Linked DNA regions of Solanum lycopersicum. Each later gene encodes a partner of the first gene's protein in a complex. Links are inferred from orthologs where the notes say so. Each region holds a gene or a part of one and is shown on either strand. Other genes may lie near its edges.

Region 1 (6,976 bases):
TGACAACAAAAGATACTAACGAAGACAATAAACTTAAACTACAGTTAGTGAGAAAAAATATAAGCATATCATTCACATTCTTATAATGGTTATACAAAAATACAACAAGAAAAAAAGTTCAACCGTTTTATTAGAGAAGCCATCCTTACCAAGTTTTTCCTCAGAAAGTGGTTCTGATTCGGGTTCCGGTTCTGGTTTCCCGCATGGAATTTCTGCATAACCCACAGATAAGCTCATGAAAAGACCAATTTTTATCACTATAAAATACACAAACCACAAGTATAACCCATAAGAATAGTTAGATTCACATAATATGTTCATAAAGAACATACCTTTATGCTTCTTGAAACAGACCAAAGAACAACTGCAAGATCAAAACAACCAAAAAAAGAACTTTTAGGTTTATCAATACTCAAATCTCCAGTAACATAACCCATAAATTACAACCCAATAAATACTAATACTGTTACACCCTCAATACTAAACAAATTGAGTTCACTGAATTCACAGGGAATCCAATACTTAAGTTTTATGAGTTCAACCTTTAGCTATCGTTTGATAGCTAGTACAGAGGCAACTTAATTATACAGCGCTTCGTATTTAGTTAAAGAAGTAAATTATTCATGTAAAGAAAGTCTGCAATTTAGAAATCCGCAGGCATAAGATAGATAACTAACAACTCCATAATCCTAACCAGCTACCAAACGACACTTCAAAGTTCTTTGCAACGAATTCATGTATAAAAGTCTGCAATTTAGAAATTCACCTTAGTTATGAGAAATTTATGCATTATTTTATGCCAGGCATAAGATAGATAACAAACAGCTAATAATTCTAACCAGCTACCTAACACACCTAAGGTTCTTTGCGACAAATTTATGTATAAAAATATGCACTTTAGAAATCCGCATATAACTAATACAAATATAAGTTATGAGAAAAATTTGTGTATTTATTCTATGCCTGACATAAGATAGATAACTGACAGTTGCATAATTCTAACCGGCTCCCAAACGACACCTAAGGTTCTTTGCAATGATTTCAATGTATAAAAGTCCGCAATTTAGAAAGCTACATGACTAATACATATATAAGCTACGAAGAAATTTATATATTATTTTATGCCGGACATAAAAAATAACTGCATAATTCTAACTAGTTACCAAACGAAACCTAAGTTTCTTATCAACAAATTCATATCTCTATTTGCTACAATTATGATGTTTTTCTACATATAAAAATTTTTACTCTGAATTTTGTATGAATAATCTATATCCATTCCCCTTCAGTTTAAACTAAAAACAAACTCAAAACCCAGAATTAAAATTCAAATAAATTTCAAAGAATGAAAAAAGATGGAAATATAATTACAAGGGGATGAAGCAATTGGGACACTTGTATCTCGACTGTGCTTCATCACATACTTGACATTTTTTCGATCCCATTATTTCTTCTTCTTCTTCGTTATCGAGGTTTTAGGGTTTTTTCTGGAAGAGGTGGAATGTAAAATTGCAATATTGGTCCCTGAATTTTGAGTTTAGATTCAATCGGGTTCTTACAATTTTATCAAATTATACTTTGAGTCGCTTAATTAATTATGGGCCTAAACTCGAATTCGGGTCCAAAATTTTCAAACCATTTTCTCTTCTGCTAAGTACCACTTTTCTCTAATAATTCTACGAGATACTCGTCACTTTCTATAATAATCATTTTTCGTAAAAGGAATCAAATCATTTTATTCATTTATATAGAAAGAATTTTGCAATAATTAATTTTCGTAAAAAGTATCAAATTATTTTATCCATTCATATAGAAAGAATTTCGTGTTATCAATTTTCGTAAAAGGTATCAAAATCATTTTATCAAAGAATTTCGTAATAATCAATTTTTCGTATAAGGTATCAAATTATTTTATCCATTCCTATAGAAAGAATCCATTAATATTTTTTAATTAATTATATAAGATACTAATCAAATTTTCGTAACAGACATTTATCCACTCGTATGAAAAGAATCCGCTAATATTTTCAATTGATTCTACGAGATACTTGTCACTTTTCGCAATAGGTATTATTCCAACCCTATGTCTTGAGTTTCGACTTTTTTGATATTTTCGACCACTTCATTGAGCACTAAATCACCATATTATCTCTGTTACTGCTAATTGTTTTGGTTTCTCTCAGCCATAGCTTGCATTACTAAACCTTAATTTTACAATTGATCGTAGAAACATATTTTTCTTGCTAGAAAAAATCTCTCTTTGGCTCGTTTTTACTGTTGATTTTTTGTTATGTGATTAATTGGACCTTGTTTGATGTAGAAACCTAGATTTTTTTGTTACAATTGGACCTTGTTTGATGTAGAAAACTGGATTTTTTGTTACAATTGGACCTTGTTTGATATAGAAACCTAGATTTCTAGCTAGAATTTTTTTTTCTTTGGCTCGTTGTTATCGTTGATTTTTTGTTATGTGATTAATTTAGGTCTGCCTGTTTAAGCTTTCGAACTATTTTTTTTAATTGAATTTTTGCAGCTCAGATTGGGGGAAAAAGTGAGATTGCTTCAACTGTTCAAGGTAATTCTTTCAATTTTTTGCTCTGATGTTTTATGTTTAGTTCTACAATGCTAAATGATTGTGTTTTATATGTCATACAATAGTGTGTATAGATGATAAAATTTGGAGTTTGATGTAGAAACTTTGAAAAAACAGATGTATAACAATAAAGATATGTTAAACAAAGATCAAATTGTACAGGCACTAGAAAAATCATATTTTGATGCCAAAATAGTCGAAAAAAACCAAAGGCAACATATACCATATAGTCCAAGGTATTGTCTTTTCTTCACCCATTCTTCTCCTTTTCCATTTTCTCTTTCTTTCCTCCATTTTTGTAGTCATTCGTTGTTTTTGCTGAGCACATGCTCCATCATATAACAATGACAACAACATACCTTGTGAAATCCCACAAGTGGACTATGGGGAGGATAGAATGTATATATGTTGTTGTACGTATGTAGAAAATATTTGCCAAACAGGAGTTAAGCTATGTGTCCAAGTGACTAATTTTCCACATGAAAAGAATCACCCATGGTGGAGTGACTTCATTGATAAAACTTGATACCATTCCAGCACTACTACCTATTTCTTTGAAGAAACTTAGTAAAACTTAAGGTTGTTTGGTCATAGCCTAATGAAAGGAGCAAGTTTGACAGTTTTTGGTGCATATTGGATCATTAGAAGTTTCATGCTTAAAATCTTGGTGAGAATTTGGGTGTACCAAAAGACAAGTAATGACCAAATGCTTAAATTTCTAATTATGGATGGAAAAGGCAATAATTGAAGACCACCCCAAAATAGGGGCAATCCGGGCAAAAACTTTAAGCCTCAATCCAAAACTAAATTCATATTAAGATCCATTAATCTTCAAGCAATGCACTTCTCATACAAAGAGTGTCAACTTTGTTATGATTTTGGTTAGGTGTTAGCTTTTTCGTTGTTACTCTTCTGTTAAACTTAATATCTTTTTGGTTCATAGGTATGTTCTAAAGAGTTCTTTGCATGTAGGTTTGAATAAATTGAAGTGCGAATGGAGTGTGTGGTTCAGGGAATTATTGAGACTCAAGTAAGTTCCTGGAGTAATGATAAAACCTCCCCCTATTTCTCGTTTTTTTCTTATTCAATCTTTTAGAAGGTATGCTACTTGTAAAAGGTATACTACGGCATTTACTGAAACAGTTTTTGGCAATTGATTATTGAAAAGATCTTGACAGTGCTAATCATACTTGCAGCATGTCGAGGCCCTGGAAATTCTGCTTCAAGGGCTTTGTGGTGTACATAAACAAAGCTTAAGGATTCATGAACTGTGCCTTAAAAGTGTCCCTAACCTAGGTAAGTGTATTTTCTCTTTGAACTATTATGGAACTAGGAACTAACCCAATGGTCATGTATGTACTGATGTGGCTGAGGCAAATGCTCACAACCATCTATGCATTCGTAGGGAGGTTTTCTCACCTTTGAGTTTGTACATAGCTGATAATTTTTTTATGGTCCATCTTATTCTAGTTGTACTGTGGTGCTGCATGTCAATTATTGAATGGAATTAGGTTCAAGTATGATTCACTTTCAGTACATCTAATTTATAGGTCGAGACCACATGGTTTTTGCTCATTCACTTGTTGACTGTTGAGTGCCTTGTTTTCAACAAAGTGTTGCCTATCATGGTTTTGTCGATGATACAGATGTGATTCTCTGCGATGATGTACATGTGATTCTTTGACATGTTGATGAGGGTAACGTCGGAGTATTAAAACAATGCTTGTTTCCTGTTAAAGATAGTATGGCAGATGTTGATCCCACAAGGATTGAGTTTCTGCTATCCTAATTAGTGTTGCTCAATTACTATTCGAGTAATCAGATAAGCAGGCGGAATGTTTTTGACTAAAATGAAATATAAATAAGAGTTCTATGACATGAATGATGGTGAAAGAGTATCCATCAGTTCATTAAACGAGTTGAATATAGACTTTTTTGTTCTAATCAGAAGGAGTTGAATCTAGACTTCACTTATGATTAGTGTATGGTGTTCACTGTCCACCAATCAATATTGATCTCTAAGTTATAAGTGCCTCTCTCTATTACACTCAACATTGATTATTCCTCTCGCTTGTAGTAATATCTAAGGAAATAGAAAACCTTAAATTCAGAGCACCTTCAGCTAATCACCTTCCAAATCACTGGTGTATATCTCGATTACATCTAACTACTATAACCTTCTTGGCTAAGTGTATTTCTTTTTATTATAATAGTCAAGGTATTATTATACCTTAAATATGGAAGACGGTTGATTAATTAACCTTGGCTCCCACAAATATATGTTGACCCCTTGTGGTTGTCTACGCATTTGTCATATCATCATCACAATTCATAAAGTATGTTGAAGACTGATTTCTCCTCTTGGTTAGACAAGGAAAAAAAGCAAACTATGATCATTCAAACGTAATTGGGAAAATAATGGAGTCCAGTGACCTCTCTAGATCAGAAGTTTGAATTGCAGAACAAATGGTTTGAATCAAATTAATAATTGTAGTTAGAGAATTAATTTATAAGAGTTAAATTATGATATCCATCTAAATCTAACTAGCAGAAAGTTACTTTATAATAGCGGTCAATCCAAATAATGAAGTATTAAAATCACAAAAATTATAATGAGAGTAAAATATGAGAAGAAAAACTCCTCAAACCGTCAATCTCTTCCTTTGAGCTCTAATTCTAGTGTTGGATCTCTCTTCCCACCTCTATGCTGTCACGGGTCGTGCAAAAACTCAAGTATCCTAGCTTAGGACGAGTATTTAGGACTTGAGAGGTTAGGGTTCAAACCACTTGGAATTCCGAAATTGTGCACTTACAGTTCTCATTCACTAGGTAGTGTGCAATTAGCAGCAGGGCGTGCAAGGCACACTCACTCCCTTGTGTTTGCAAAATGTTGGTTCTCAGGTTGCACAATTGTGTACTTCAAGTTGTTTCGGAGCTATTTCAACACCGTGAGGTGCCTGAGCACCTAATCTTTGAGTTGTTTACAGCCCAAATCCTCTCGAACTGCTTTCTAGCATGTCATGCGACATCACCTAAACAAAATGAGCAAAAGTGTGGACTCAAATTGATATCTGATTTTCACCTAATTGAGAGATATAAAATGGACCAAATATTGCGTGCATGATCAACTGTTTATACTCCAATCACATATCATATCTTGTCTAAAAATCATTTATGCCTTCTCACGATTTTTTCTTTTCTCCTTTCCTGCTCTTTGTCTTTGGGTTATTTTAACCGTGTGGTCTGTTGCTTACCATTCTCAGGCTTAGTAGCATCAGAAATACGGCTCTTATGTGATCTTGAGCAGCCAGAACCTGCATGGTAAGAGATCTGGTTTGTCCTGAGCCCCTATCTATTGGGACACTTGAAGCCTAAGTTTTTTTTTTATGTGATTAAACATAGGACTGTTAGGCATGTTGGTGGTCCAATGAGAGGTGCTGGTGCTGAACAAATCTCAGTGTTGGTGAGACCAATGCAAGAAAGCAAAATAAGCAAGAATGCATTACGCTTATTTTATTCACTTGGCTACAAGCTAGACCATGAGCAGCTGAGAGTTGGTTTTGCATTTCATTTCCAAAGAGGTGCCCAGATAACTGTAACAGTTTCATCCATCAACAAGATGTTGAAACCTCATGCTATCGATGATGCAGTGCCTGTGACTCCAGGCATACAGCTAGTTGAAGTGACTGCACCAGCTTCATCTGAAAATTACAATGAAGTTGTTGCATCTGTAACGTCCTTCTGTGAATATCTTGCACCGTAAGCATCTTTATCTTGGTTTGTTATCCATAAGAATTGGCTAGTCGTACCTGGTATTGTATATGATGGTCTAGTAAAACATACAAATGGTTTCTTTTGTTTTCAGGCTCCTTCATTTGTCAAAACCCGGTGTCTCAACAGGGGTTGTTCCTACTGCAGCTGCAGCTGCTGCATCTCTGATGTCTGATGGTGGAGGCACAAAGTGAATGGAAAAATTACTCAGTACCATTTCTGTCTTAAATCTCTGTTGCAGTTATCATAGCTGAAGAATGAGACGTATTTCGCCATTCTCCTTCCCAATAACTTCAATGTTTGTCCTTCTGTAATTGACGTTAAATACCTGATCATCGATATGCAACGTTGCTCATTCATAGAATAGAGTTATAATACCCTTTGTACTGAATTGCGAAAAACAAAGCACAGCAGTGCTCTCTTTGATCTATAATTGTTTGACTCTTTTCTTGTTTATGTGTTATGCTCAAAGCACATGAGATGTTTAAGTGATTATATTTGGTTCTTTGGGCGGTAAGATTTCAGTTTCAAGTACTGTCTTATGTCAATGTTGAAGATTCGGAATGAGGTTATTCCGAATACTGTACGTCTTATGTGAATGTTGAAGATTAG
Region 2 (6,805 bases), on another chromosome or scaffold:
ATGTGTAATACACTCGTTGATGACGTGGCAAACAATCAATTAAATAATTACATGTATTATTTTCAGTTAAAAATAATTATAAAATCTATTTAGTAAAAAAATTTAAAATATTATTCTACGAAAATTTCTTATTTCATTACACTCAAATCTCTTTTGTGCTTTACAAAAAAATATTATTTTCTTTTACTATTTTTCATATTTATTCTTCTTTTTAGTATTGTTTTTCTTTAAAAAAAGAAAGGAGGGAGAGAATAAACATGAAATATGGGTGTTGGTATCCATTTTTCCGGCAAAAAATAGAGTGAGGTGAAGATAGACTTAGATAAGTAATACAATGATGAAGAAGAAAATGACTTAACAACGAATTTGAATAAAAAATTTGACCTCCATTGAAGGAATTTAAATTCGAAAAAAAAGGGGGTGGTGGCTTGGAGAAGAAGAAGATAAAATAAAATTAAAAATGGCTAAATTAAGTCTTTCACGCGCTATTGTTAAGTGTATCACACTCACTTTGACATGTCAGCAAAAAGTGCCAAAATGACACAACAGAACCCTACACGAGGTGTCTAAAATGAACATCGCCTAATTTAGGTGTTCTAAGTGAAAATCGATAGCAAGTTTAGGAGGTCACCGATGAATTTGACAAGTTTGAGCAATTAAACAAAATATTTAATTTAAACATTAATGTAAAATTAATTTTATTCATCACATATAATATAATTACTCATCAATAATATATAACACTAACAAATGAAAAAAAATATATGTCTCATTTTAATGTACATAGAACACTTAATATATAATACTAATGATGAAAATACAAATAAAATAAAAATTAAGATACATAAATAATACTACTCCTTTAGTCCAATAAAATAGCACTCGTATATATATAAATAATTATTAGAAACTCAAACAATTATTACTCAATTATGATTTTATTCAAATATATTTTAAAAATCTTACACTCTAAAATATTAATTTTGAAACTAAAGGGAAGCTTTGTGTTACAAATGAAAACTATTGGGGAGGAATATGTAATTATTTCGAAACAGAGTGAGGGGAGAAGAGAAAAAAACCAAAAAAAGACAGAGGAGAAGATTGTGGAAGCCATTTTCTTCCTTCAGTCAAGTAAGTAGAAAAACCCTAGTCTTTGTGGTTTTTCTTCTTTTCATTTGCTTAAATTTATTTGAGTATTTTCAAGAAATTTGTGTATTGCATCAATTTTGTTTCAGTTGATTTCTTGCTTTTGAGTGTTTTGGGTAATCATAGAAAATTGTTTCTTGGGTTTGTTTTTGTATGCAGAATTTGATAGCATAATAGCTCTTTAATTGTTGTACAAAGATTCAATTTTTAATGATGAAATTACTACAAAGATTCAATTTTTAGTGATGGTCTTGCTAAAGATTCAATTTTAATGATGTTGTTGCTATAAAGATTCAATTTTTAATGATGGTCTTGATACAAAGATTAAATTTTTAATGATGTTCTTGCTAATTTATTCTCTCCTTTATAGATTTACGGAGGTTAGTGATCAATTAGGGCTTCGAGGGGTTGTGATGGATAATCTCGTAGATGCACTGAGCAGTGCATATCAAGACTTTGTTGCAGCATCAGCTGTTGTACTTGAATCAAAGGAGAGTTCTAATGGTCAGAAAACAGCAGCAACTGATGCTGCATTAGAAAACTTTAAGCAAAAGTGGGAGTTGTTCAGGGTTGCGTGTGATCAGGCGGAGGAGTTTGTGGAATCGGTTAAGCAAAGAATTGGCTCCGAGTGTCTTGTGGATGAGGCTACAGGCACTGTTTCAGGGAAGCCTGGGCAACCAGCTGCAAGTGGCCTTCAACCCATTAGTGCTGTTAGGTTGGAGCAGATGAGTAAAGCTGTAAGATGGCTAGTGATAGAACTGCAACATGGTTCTGGAGCGAATAGTGCTTCAGCAGTACATCCCAATCCTTCTGCTCCATTTGATGCCAGATTTTCTGAAGATGCAGCTCAATAGGTATACTGAAATCTCGCTGATACTTCCTGTCCTTGTCGTTTCCGTTGACTATGTTAAATAATCTGGAAACAAATTTGTATTATTTAATGAACTATTAGTGATAGGCTTTGTATCCTAGACTTGATGATGAAGCAAATAAGTGAACATTCCCTTGGAACTGAAACTGATTCATATATAAGAGCTGCTATTACAAAACCGCTGGTCTTGTATAAATTTCCAGGTTGATAGAAAAGTAGTAGAAGCTAACAAAACTGCTTTTTAGTGGCATCATATGTTCTCTTCCATCAGAACGAATAACTGTGAGTAACCACTAGTTTCTGCAGCAATTATGTTATATGTACTATCCTTACTTTATTTATGAAGAATACTATCCTTACTTATTAAGCTAAGTTTGACCCAACTTCTTTTTTTATGATCAATTATGTACTATCCTTACTTATTAAGCTGAGTTTGACCCAACACTTCTGACAGACAAATGGAAACTAGAAAAAAAAAATTGGTTTCGTTTTATTCTGTTTTCATCGCTGTAAAACAAAGAACTATTAGTTGTGACTGTTTTCAGGTAACTACAGAGTCTGGTGATCAGCAGAGAGAAACAGAAGATCTTATGTGCCTTAGTAAGCCGCTAAAGTTGATGTTTGATGTATGAAGTCATGTTGTAACGATGTAGAAGAAATACTTTGGAATGATATTTGTAAACCACCTTTACCGCCTCCCTCCCTCGCCATCTTATGAGAAGATCTGGCAAATTTACATTTGTGTTTTCTAGGCACAGAGATTTACTTTTATCGCAGTATGAGCTACTGCACTGTTAGCTTTATTTAGATCTTAAGCATACCAACATATACAAACAGGCTGTATGTTTGTGTCTGCTATGTGTACCTTATATTCTCGAGTATTTATGTTTATAATCGATTTTTGTTAGGAAATATATCTCCAATCTTGTAAAGTGGCTTTTTAGTTAATTGTGTTAACCCTGATGAACTCATTCAGTAGGCTTTGGAGACCTCTGGAATTGTTGCAACAGAGTATTATGACGCTTTGAGTGTAGCAGTATTAGTAAATACGCTTTAGCTTACAACTACATCTTGATTGCTACACAAATGCTCAGTATCCATGTCGCTCCATTTAACCTTATCTCAGTCTAATATTTAGTTGTACTGTATAATAACTTTGAAAACAGAAGTTCTCACTTGTCACTGCACTTGGAAACGTCTTTGTCCAATAACGCAAACTAATACTAGTAAATGAGAGATCTATGATGTAAAAGTTCTGATGGTTATTGAGAATCGTCTGAAGGGATGACAAGCAGAGGCTACTCTATAAAGCTATATATATCAGAAAAAACAACGCTCTTTTCATTAATTTTATGCAGACCCAAGAAGAAATGGGTTTTGAGGCAACATACAATGCTTAAGAGCATCTTTTGAGATAAATTCCATGCAAATATACACAATTTGTTGCTTTCATCTGGATATACAGGGTGGTGAAGAGAGCATGTGCGATAACAATGGCACAACTAGGCGAGTAGTTACCATGAACAGCACAAGCACTTTATGTTCAAAAGTCATAACTGATCCTATGAGCAATAGATTGAATATTGAGTAGCAGCCTCAAACATACTGTGTAACAACCAACGCTACAAGCAATAGATCGTGAGCAACCGCCTCAAATAAACAATCCCTTTACTGGTGAAATCACTTTTTTGCAAAACTAAGCTATTATGGTCTAAGAAAGCAAAGCTCTTAATCATAAGATGCTCTATTGGTCCCAAGCTCCACATAGGGTTGCTAATTGGGTGGAGTCTTCCCACAGCAATGTGGACAAAAATCTATCACATGGTCAGCAGTCCTACTGTTCAGGAAGAACATAAACCACTCAGTAGTTGTACCTTCTTCTAACAGGACTCTGCTGGCAGAATTCTGGTCATTCTTCTTGCTTACATCTTCTTTCGTCAAAACTCGTTTTTTTCCCAGTCTTCAAGTCATTCAGAGCTTCAGTTCTTCAACCAGCTCTGATGTGAATCAGGGAGCCTAAAGAGCCCTGGACGAACATTTGACATCTTATCTTTAAGCTGATAGGCCACTAGTGATACCAGAATTTTCATCAGCAGCACCTATCCTCATAAGCTTTTCGACTTCAGATGCTTCAGCCATATTTACCAGAGAGGATTATACTGCCTTGGTTCTGGATGAAATTGCGTAGTCTATTCTATTTTCAACACTGTAATCCAGGATGATGTCTAGATCTGTGGAGTTCCTACATACATACATCATTCTGCTGGTTATTCAAGCATTGATCTAGAGAAGACTCAGCTGCAGCTACACAGAAGCTGTGGTTGCTCGTCCATCGTTGTTGCACAGTCAGCTTTATTCCAGATCCATCTTGAAAACCGTCTAAATTTGCAATAATGCATCTGCGGAAGGAATATTGTTCGTCGTATCCAGCTCCTCATCAATCATGACATCTCCGTTCTCGTCAAACACATTGGCTGATGTAATCCCATCAAGAGAAAACAATTGACTCGCACAAGCGGAGATGGATACTGGGCTGGTTTGCATCTCAACAGAAGGATGTTCCACAGCAGAACCTATATCTGTGCGCGTGCCATTTTGAGTAGCTACCCGATCAATCTTGCCACCACTCAAATTACATGTGGCAGAACTTGGATGCTGGAGCTCAGTCAGATCATTTTCCACATTGACTAATGTGTGTGTTCTATTGCTTGCTGTCACCACATCAGGTTTGGCTGTAGTAAGCTGAAGAGCTTGTCGCTTCGACTGGCCACTTCCAGGACCAAGTTGAGCATTCAACTGCGTCTGCACCCAGACAGCTAGAGAAAGTGCATGATCACGAATCAAAGAATCATGAGGTGGGCAGTGTAACATATCGACCAGAGCCTGCATATACTGGAACATACTGACGGATGGAGTATTAGACCCTTTGTCACGTAGACATTTAATGCTTTTAAGAATATGCTCGCATAAGTTTCCCATTTTCGCCCAATTACAATCACAAAGTGCATATTCGGAAGCTGGATTCCAAACAACATGCACTTTATGTCGATCTTCCTGATCAACAACTTTTGAATAATCACCCTCAATTAACACATCTGAATCTGGAATCTGCAAAGATTTCTGCCAAGCTGTTAAGCCACTCATCCATTCATCCTTCCAGTATCGTGCGAAATCATCCTTCCCTGAGTACTCATCAAGCCAGAAGTAAGAATGCACTGTAGTACCTAGCTTATCTACTAACCAATCAGCACGTTGATATACACATTTTTCCTTCTCATTCAATAACCTAAGCTTTAATTGGTTGTGATAGTATTCCATTGACGAGCACATCTCCTGGCTGGCAAGAGGAAGACTTCTCAGTGCACTAGTCCAGAGCCCTGAGTAATCAAAATCCGTCAGCAAGAAAAGCCCCAAAGAGGAACCAACTAATTTATAAAAGTATTTCAAGCATTCTTGAAGAATAATGTGTTTTTCAAAACTAAAAGAATAAGGTCTTTAGTACAAAAACTAGGCTAGCATGTCCTTTTCAAGTGAGGACACATAAACGTGAAAGATTGCATGTATGGAGTTCCTCAATCTATAATAATTTAAATGCATAACAACTGAGAAATTGTTATGTAATTGAAAATATGACGGAGTTTTTGGACTTCATGACACCCAATCATAACAACATACCCAGTGACCTCATCTTTTATGAAACAGAGCTAATCCCGGGATCCAAAAAAAGACTAACATTTACCACACAGATGTGTGAAGCATCTTTTTTTTTTTTGCAAGGTATGTGAAATGTTGCACAATGTGGACATAGGGAGTGTTAGTTTAAATTCATGCTAGGCCTGGATCTAAATCAGATTATCCATGTGTCAATTGAGTAAGCAGAAAACCTGTTTCAGAGGTGTACTTCAATCTAATTGCAATAACAATCCTATTGGTACCTACAGAGACTGTTTTACTGAATAGTAAAAACTCACCTAGTCTTGGGTACCATATGGCCTTGAAATAGTCCAAAAAATCTGCAGCATCCACAAATTCTTCCATAAATTCTTCAAACAAATCAGCAGTTCCATCCCCTTTGCAGATGCGCTGCACTGCCTGGCCTAGCCTCTTTGCAATTACAGCACAGGTCTCCAGTTCCGAGCATTTCTTAATCAAGTTCTTATGCCATGCATGACGAACCCGCCAAAAGCATATCAATACAGAGCACTGGAACACTTCCCTGAATAATAAGCAAACAAAGATTTAATACACCATGCATGCAAGAAAAGTCAAGAAGGTGAAGTAGATGACTAGAGGGCACAATTTTAATCTGTGCAATCTAGTATACAAAATATATACTCTACAGAACCTCAACTCATGAGTGACTGAGAAAGCACAAAAAGAAAAACTAAGTGACATGCCTAACATTCAGATAAACCTTCCACACACTGAATGAGCAAAGTATGCAAGTTCCATCATTCAATTTAAAATTTATTACTCTCACCATCCCAATTTATGTGATGTAATTTGATGATGCAAGGAGTTAAGAAATATGGCAAGACTTTGCAAGGTTTCAAAACTAACCTTAATATAAATGCATTTCTAGATAGAAAAGTACATCTTTGTGGAGTTGTAGCCAAATAAGTGGGACTCAACATGGGTAAAATGTTAATAGTGTCATTATATATTTACCAAATAAGGAAATATGTCATTCTTTTATTCTTCATTAGTTCAAAATATTCAGACCGATCCAACAGAACAACATTGAAATTGCCAGCCTATTTTACATGCATTCATCTACTAATATCATCA
Region 3 (6,976 bases), on another chromosome or scaffold:
TTGACCATTGGAATGTTTCGTGTGGCCGGTAACTTTTTTGTTTCCTCCCTTTGCCTTTTTTATTTTTTATTTTTAACTTTTAGGTGCCACTAGAATTTAGAGCAAATAACAAAACTTGATCCTCTCTACATCTAACGATAACAATAGTTTATTTAAATTAATTTCATATAGTGAAATTCAAAATAAAGTGATGTATACAAATTTTATTTTTATCTCAATATTTCTGACTAGGTAACTTTTTATTTTATAATATATAATTATTGGTAGTATTCATTGTTGGCCTCAGTACGCAGAGTATGTTGTCTTGGTTTTAATCAACATGACTCTTTAGACATCAAAAGTTGTCTTTGAACTTCCAACTTAGTATCAAAAATCACTATGAGTCTATCCGATCAAAATTATCTCATTGGTGAGGCGGAGCTACCGGTATGGAAGGGTGGTCAGCGATCACTGAGTTTTGGCCAAAAATATTTTTTAACTATATGTCAAACTTAAATTATAGCCCTAAAATATCATTTTTAGCAGATAACTATATTCAAAATTAAACTATATCTTTAAAGTATCATTTTCAGCAGAAAACATCCTTTAAGTATTTTTACGTGAACAATTTTCATCCTTTTGTTAGATATTGTCAAAAGATTAAGGGATCTTACGAAAACATGAGCAATTAATGTGACTATCAACAAATTTTATTATGCATAATTTCATTAAATCTACAATAAATTCTTGAAAATATAAAAAATCTTAGACACTGTTGCTTATGAAAACTATAAATGATTAGAAGGTGTGAGCGTACATGATTTGCCTTTTGCGCAACAGAAAGAAGTTGGAGATTAATTATTTTTATCTTTTTCTTAACCAATTAAATTATTAGATTTTTGGGTCAATCTAATATCGAAGTGACCAAAATATTGATTATGTCTTGTATTTGAGTTTCATTCTACATTATTTGAAGGGGAAGTCTCCAAAAAATGTCGCTTCTAGCATATTTAATTGAGAAGAAACTATTTAAATTAATAATATTTTAAATTAAAATTATATGAAAAATGAATGAAAAAGACGGTCAAATTAAAAGATTTTGCATAATTCTTAACTCAATTAAGAAAAAGTTCGCGATAATATTCTTGGCATATATAAGAATAACAATTAGGAAGGGACGGCTTATTTTTTGAGGGATATATCAATTAAGGATGAAAATTATTTACTTTAAAATACTTTAAGGATGTTTTATGATAAGAATATACTTTAAGGCTGTAATTTGAGTTTGAGGTATAGTTTAATGATGATTTTGGCTAAAATTTCAAAATAATTAATCTCCAACCTTTTTCAATTACGGAAAAGGCGAATCATGTACGCTCACACCTTTCAATCATTTTTAATTTCCATAAGCAACAATGTCTAAGATTTTTTATATTTTTCAAGAACTTCTTGTAGAAAATAATGAAATTATACATAATAACTTTTGTTGATAGTCGCGTTAACTGCTCATGTTTTTGTAAGATCCCTTAGTTTTTGACAATATCTAACAAAAGGATGAAAGTTGTTCACTTACAAATACTTAAAGGATGTTTTCTGCTAAAAATGATACTTTAAGAATGTAGCTTAAATTTGGGGTATAGATAAATGATGTTTTATGCTAAAAATAATAATTTAAGGATGTAGTTTAGATTTCGGGTATAGTTAAAAAATGTTTTTGGCCAAATTATACCCTATATATAAATAAAATGCTATATAATATTGCGATATATAATTAATTGAACACCTATGACAAAGTCTATTGGTCTGCTGGTAAGCATGTTCATTTACGTGCAAGAGGTCCTCAGTTGCAACATGTTTTTTAAAACATAAAACACACTCTCTTTTCAATTATGTGTAAGAGATCTGTATTAAGTGACTTATTAGGTATACACATTCTCAAGATTTTATTTTAAAGAAAAAATTAAAGATTATTATTTATTATTATACTTTTGAGTATTTCTAAAGTATCTTTCTATTTAGAAAAAGTAAAATAGTTAAGAATTTGAAAATAGGAGAAAAAAACTCATCATAATCGTGAAAGTCACTCTCAAAAGGCTCATCATAGCCCTTTTTGTGACTCGACTCAAGCTCATCATACATTATTCGATATTTGAACTATTCAGTTATTTAAATTACAAAAAACACTCGACAATTTATTTCATATGAACTAGAGGGAGTATATTTCAAGCAAAAATTATTTTGTGACTTTTGTCCATTAGTTTTGATTTATTCCATCGATAGTTTTATCATTTTAAATTTCCGCAAGATTTAGTTACTAAGTGATGTGTAATTTAATTTCTCACACATTTGCAAAAATAAATTTTGTGTACCCACTTCGCTAAAAAAATTATCGACTCTTTTAAAGTTTGAACAACCTCGGCGAAATTTCTGGCTCCGCCACTATTTGGCGAGTAACATACTCATCATACACTTTCTTGGATATATCGCGTTAATTCATTCATCATCAAGATAAATGATTTTGATCTAAAAGTTGATGTCTGGTGCAACCTCTTCATAGTGGAAAAGTGCTTTTTTTTCTTCTAGGTCTTGACTCCTTCATACATGTCCTTGATCTTCTAAATATACGTCATAGAGTCTGGCATTAATACATACATTTTATGAACCCTAAACACCCAAAGGGACCTCCAAAAAAATTTGGTGTGTGTTTTATAGAGGGTCCCTTTTAGTGTTTAGGGTTTAAAAAGTGTCCGTTTTGATATCAGACTTCTACATACCTCCAATTTCCAAACATCTCCAAAAAACCTCCTTCAAGACTCTGTCTAAAAAACTTTCCAATCAATGAACATCATATGCAAGTTTTTCTATTTGACTGTACTTATTTATCAATCTCTTTATAATGACTTTTGAATACATGTGAAACATGCTTAGATATCAAGTGTATAGAATAAATTATATCTAATTTTGACTCATATGTATCTATTTTGTAAAGTTCTAAGAGAAAATATAATTAGAAAGTATAGTTTCAACCGATAAATAACACAAATGTAAATGTGTGTTTTGTGTTGTTTCCTCTTAATTTAAATACAATTCATTCAAATTTGAATGCACTAGTGATCTACTTTTTTATTAGTTCAATCTATTTCAGTTTGTTAAAATATTAGTTCATATATAAATCAAATCGGTTAATGAAAAGTGAGTTTTATGTATTTTGAATTAGTATTTTAATTATTAAAAATTATCTATTTTTTTTTAATACATACTAAATTTTATACTATAGAAAATGTTAAAATTTCTAAATTAGCTTGTTTGCTCTTGAAATCGAAACCTCCCCACAAATTGGGACAGCGGGAGTAATTTCAATTTTGCTATTTGAAAAAACAGAGGATTTTCCGTTGGGGTTTAACCGGATCGGGCCTTTTCATCTCCGGTAATCTTTCTCGTTTTGTAATTCTCATCGTACTTCTGCTTTGTTATTAACTGTACTAGTTGTGGTTTCAGTAAAGTTTAGCTTCGTATAGTTGTGAATTCATTCTCTTGTGGCGGCTTAAATCAAGGGTTTGGTTGTCAGTGTTATAGCAAACGAAGATTCTGTTCAGAAGATTTAGAGTTCTTTTTTGTTGGAAATTTTGAGGTTGTGATTTTGACCTAAAACTGTTAATTTCATAGATAGAGAGATATTTGTATGTTAGTAATAGGGAACCTCTAGGGTTATGAAAACCTAAATTATTGAATATTGGAATAGATGGGGTTCTAATGGAGAGAATTCATATAGTAAACCCAAACTAATTCGGGATTGAGGCATACTTCTTGATTACTGAGCTAAATTAGAGATAAAGAGTAAGAGGTGCAGTTGGGATTGATTCATTTCTCACTTTAATAACTATCTAATTTTACAGTTTTAGGTTTTGTAAACTTTTTTAGTGCATACTAATAACTATCTACCCTTTTGGTTTGCTTGGGATTGCTAGCTCCTTAGCTTTAGTTTAGGATACTTGTATGAGTGCTGAGATTTTTTTTATGCCCTTCCGAATTAGAGCTAAGCGGTCGCATATTTTGTAATCTGGCATCTACCCGATGCCCATTCAAGGATAATTTTTAACCTTATCAAAAAGACATAGTTGCAGCAGTAATTTTTTCCGATGTACCTATTGATTTAACAATGTGAACACCAAATTTATACAGATGTCATGGTAGTTTTTACTTGGAGATAAGAGTTTACTGTTTGTTAAATTTCAAAGAAGAGTTTACTGTTTGTTACGAGGGATGGGCTTCAGTTTTAGAGGGTCTCACTTGATGGCTTTGTTCTCTTTGGTACAAAAGAACTATTCTTGTAATAAGATGTGGATGAAATGTCATTTAGGAATGATGGGAAATATATTTTTGAAGTGGTTTGTACATTTCAGAATCTTAGGAATTATTTCTCTTTGCTACTCAGTCCATTAGGCCAGTTCATGCTTTGATAGTTTTGGCTATTTGTGTAGTACTTGATTACATCTGATGACATTAATTTTATCCATTTTAGAACCAAAGTACCAACAGATTTCAGCTCAACAGCCATTAGTTATGGACCACTTTGGAGGAGGAAGTTGGACAATGATCCCCAACATCCAAACTCACAGTAATCCTTCGACACCCTCCAATCAAGACAATTTATTTCTTCAGCAACAGCAATTTCAACAACAACAGTTCATTCAACCGCAGCTCTATCAGCAACAACAGCAGCAGCAGCAGCAACAACAACAACGGTATCAACAACAGATGCAACAGCAACAAATGCAGCAGCAGCAACAGATGCAGCAGCAGCAAATGCAGCAACAACAACAACAGCAGCAGCAAATGCAGCAACAACAACAACAGCAGCAGCAGCAACAACAACAACAGCACCACCAATCACTTGCCTCTCACTTCCATCTTTTACAAGTATTGGGCAAAAACCATGATCTGTAGCTTGCTATTTTAATAGAGTAACGAGACATTTCTCTTTCCTAGTGAGACCTTTTGTTCTAACTTTTATTGTCATCTTACAGCTGGTGGAGAATTTAGCTGATACAATTGAAAATGGAAATCGAGATCAGCACTCAGATGCATTGGTTTGTTCATTTCTTGATTGATGCATTATATGTTAGTTTTCCATTTCTTCTACATTAAACCGGGTGTATTTTTCCTCACCAGGTAACTGAATTGAAAAATCAGTTTGAGAAGTGCCAGCAGCTGTTGACATCAATATCAGGGTCTATTAGCTCAAGATCTATGGTATTTCATTTTCACACATATCCTTTGATTTCTGTTGTAACTTGTTCTGAACACACCCCCAACTCAAAAAATAAAAAGAAAAAAGAGAGAGACTCCAACAAAGAGTTAAGCGCAATAATATGAAAACAGAACTTCAAAATTATTCTTTTCTGGAAGAGTTGGATTGTTTTTCTTTTGGCAGTGTTATTGCTTTTAATTGTGCTTTTCCATTTGGGCCTGTTTGTTCAACTTATAGTTGTGAAGAATTTTACTGAAAAGTGGGGTTCAATATGTTTGAAACGATGTTGACTTGAACAAAGTTGCTCCACAAATTCTTATTTGGTTGCATGTTTTGATGCTTAAATATGGGTAAGATAATTGACCAGTCCTGTGTTCTTTGGACAGACAGTTGAGGGACAAAAGCGCAAAAAGGCAGAGTGCGAACAAATGCTAAATCAGCGAAGGTTTGTATTATATATATATAAAACACACACACACACACATATATATATGTGTGTGTGTGTGTGTTTCTAATATTGTCTACTGAAATTTGTATAATTATTATTTGCTTCATCTGATGGTCATGTTTCATGCTTAATTACAGGGATCTTATTTCGAGGTACAAAGGCTCAGTTGAGGAGATTATTAACTCTGAACTATAGCTCATACTCGCATTTTAACCAAGGTAAAATTATGCGCTGCAAGTTGTTTTTGGCCTGCCCAAAAGAAGTTGAGTTGAATCACCTGTCATTTTGATTTTACTAGATGCAAGTGAAACAACTATGCAGTGTTCTGGATGCAGTCAATTTGTAGTTTGTTGTAATACATGAGAATAAAGTGCTCATGAGAAATTTTTATTGATGTTACTGTTGTAATCACTATGGCGCTCGCCACAAATGACTGCTCTGACTGTACTGAGAACATAAAATGTTTTGGGCCAAGGTTATGATAAAGTAATGCATTGCCTTCTTAACTGACTGATTGTATTTAAATCTAATTACATCAAAGTGAAGCAAATAATTGAAGTAACGGTGCTACCCGGGCTCTAGTCAGGCACCTGGATAGCTGATTGTTCAGTTTAATACTTGACTAGAAATAGTCTAAGCATTTAAAGTAATTTAAGTAGCCTGGAGAGTTGATCTTTCCATATATGGACTTTGAGGGCATCCGGGAGTGATCTATGTTACATATCACGTACATCGAGAACTTCCCGAAGACATGGCTTTAGAAAAATGTATGTTTGCCTAAGTTGTTGGGAGATTTGATTTGCTTAAAGATTAATATTTTTGTTACCTTATGTATTTTTTTGAGTTGAATTCAATGCTACATAGAATTCAAATCAGCATTAGGAACTTCACAAATAAGTTGGACATCGCTAGCTATCGAAATATCTAAGTTATTATTTGCATCATTCATAATCTATTCTCAGAAATCGTTAAATATTCATTTAAAGTGCACTTTAACTCTGAAGCTAGGTGAAGTCCGAGTTGGGCGCTTTGCCTTGCTTAATTGACACCTTGGCTCAGGCATCAAGTAGCTAAATAGTGTCCTTGTCATTTTTAGGAAGTTAGACTATAGAGTAAATGTCAACTTAGTTGACGGATTGATACAAAATGCTGTTTTATATATTCTTAATCGTTACGAATAAGAAACTAGAAATTAGAAATACGAAACTAGAAAAGAAGAATAGTTAGTGAAGACTTACAACTGAATTACATCCAAATTAGAAATTCAGTTTCACTTAATCATAGTAGTTCTGTTAAGT

What was found.
Region 2: MED18 (region 1) and mediator of RNA polymerase II transcription subunit 32 share a complex: the UniProt entries of both Arabidopsis thaliana proteins name them as parts of the mediator complex. The link is inferred for Solanum lycopersicum from reciprocal best matches to the Arabidopsis thaliana genes AT2G22370 and MED32.
Region 3: MED18 (region 1) and mediator of RNA polymerase II transcription subunit 9 share a complex: the UniProt entries of both Arabidopsis thaliana proteins name them as parts of the mediator complex. The link is inferred for Solanum lycopersicum from reciprocal best matches to the Arabidopsis thaliana genes AT2G22370 and MED9.

Annotation. Positions count from the first base shown.
Region 1 is NC_090805.1:1,886,061-1,893,036, reverse strand, and holds MED18 (mediator of RNA polymerase II transcription subunit 18), read left to right. Parts: upstream 1-2,181; 5' UTR 2,182-2,575; intron 2,576-2,755; exon of another isoform or gene 2,756-2,829; intron 2,830-3,565; 5' UTR 3,566-3,587; coding exon 3,588-3,623; intron 3,624-3,789; coding exon 3,790-3,889; intron 3,890-5,856; coding exon 5,857-5,914; intron 5,915-5,995; coding exon 5,996-6,352; intron 6,353-6,458; coding exon 6,459-6,558; 3' UTR 6,559-6,820; downstream 6,821-6,976. Other genes in the region: ZNHIT (zinc finger HIT-type containing protein), read right to left, coding at 150-212, 333-364, 1,372-1,445. UniProt on the Arabidopsis thaliana protein: Component of the Mediator complex, a coactivator involved in the regulated transcription of nearly all RNA polymerase II-dependent genes.
Region 2 is NC_090807.1:64,219,904-64,226,708, reverse strand, and holds mediator of RNA polymerase II transcription subunit 32, read left to right. Parts: upstream 1-985; 5' UTR 986-1,131; intron 1,132-1,133; exon of another isoform or gene 1,134-1,262; intron 1,263-1,516; 5' UTR 1,517-1,559; coding exon 1,560-2,000; intron 2,001-2,546; exon of another isoform or gene 2,547-2,562; 3' UTR 2,563-2,929; downstream 2,930-6,805. Other genes in the region: uncharacterized protein, read right to left, coding at 4,397-5,394, 5,989-6,233. UniProt on the Arabidopsis thaliana protein: Component of the Mediator complex, a coactivator involved in the regulated transcription of nearly all RNA polymerase II-dependent genes.
Region 3 is NC_090801.1:55,597,031-55,604,006, forward strand, and holds the start of mediator of RNA polymerase II transcription subunit 9, read left to right. Parts: upstream 1-3,085; 5' UTR 3,086-3,406; intron 3,407-4,501; 5' UTR 4,502-4,542; coding exon 4,543-4,899; intron 4,900-5,006; coding exon 5,007-5,069; intron 5,070-5,151; coding exon 5,152-5,232; intron 5,233-5,616; coding exon 5,617-5,675; intron 5,676-5,815; coding exon 5,816-5,873; 3' UTR 5,874-5,896; exon of another isoform or gene 5,897-6,184; intron 6,185-6,976. UniProt on the Arabidopsis thaliana protein: Component of the Mediator complex, a coactivator involved in the regulated transcription of nearly all RNA polymerase II-dependent genes.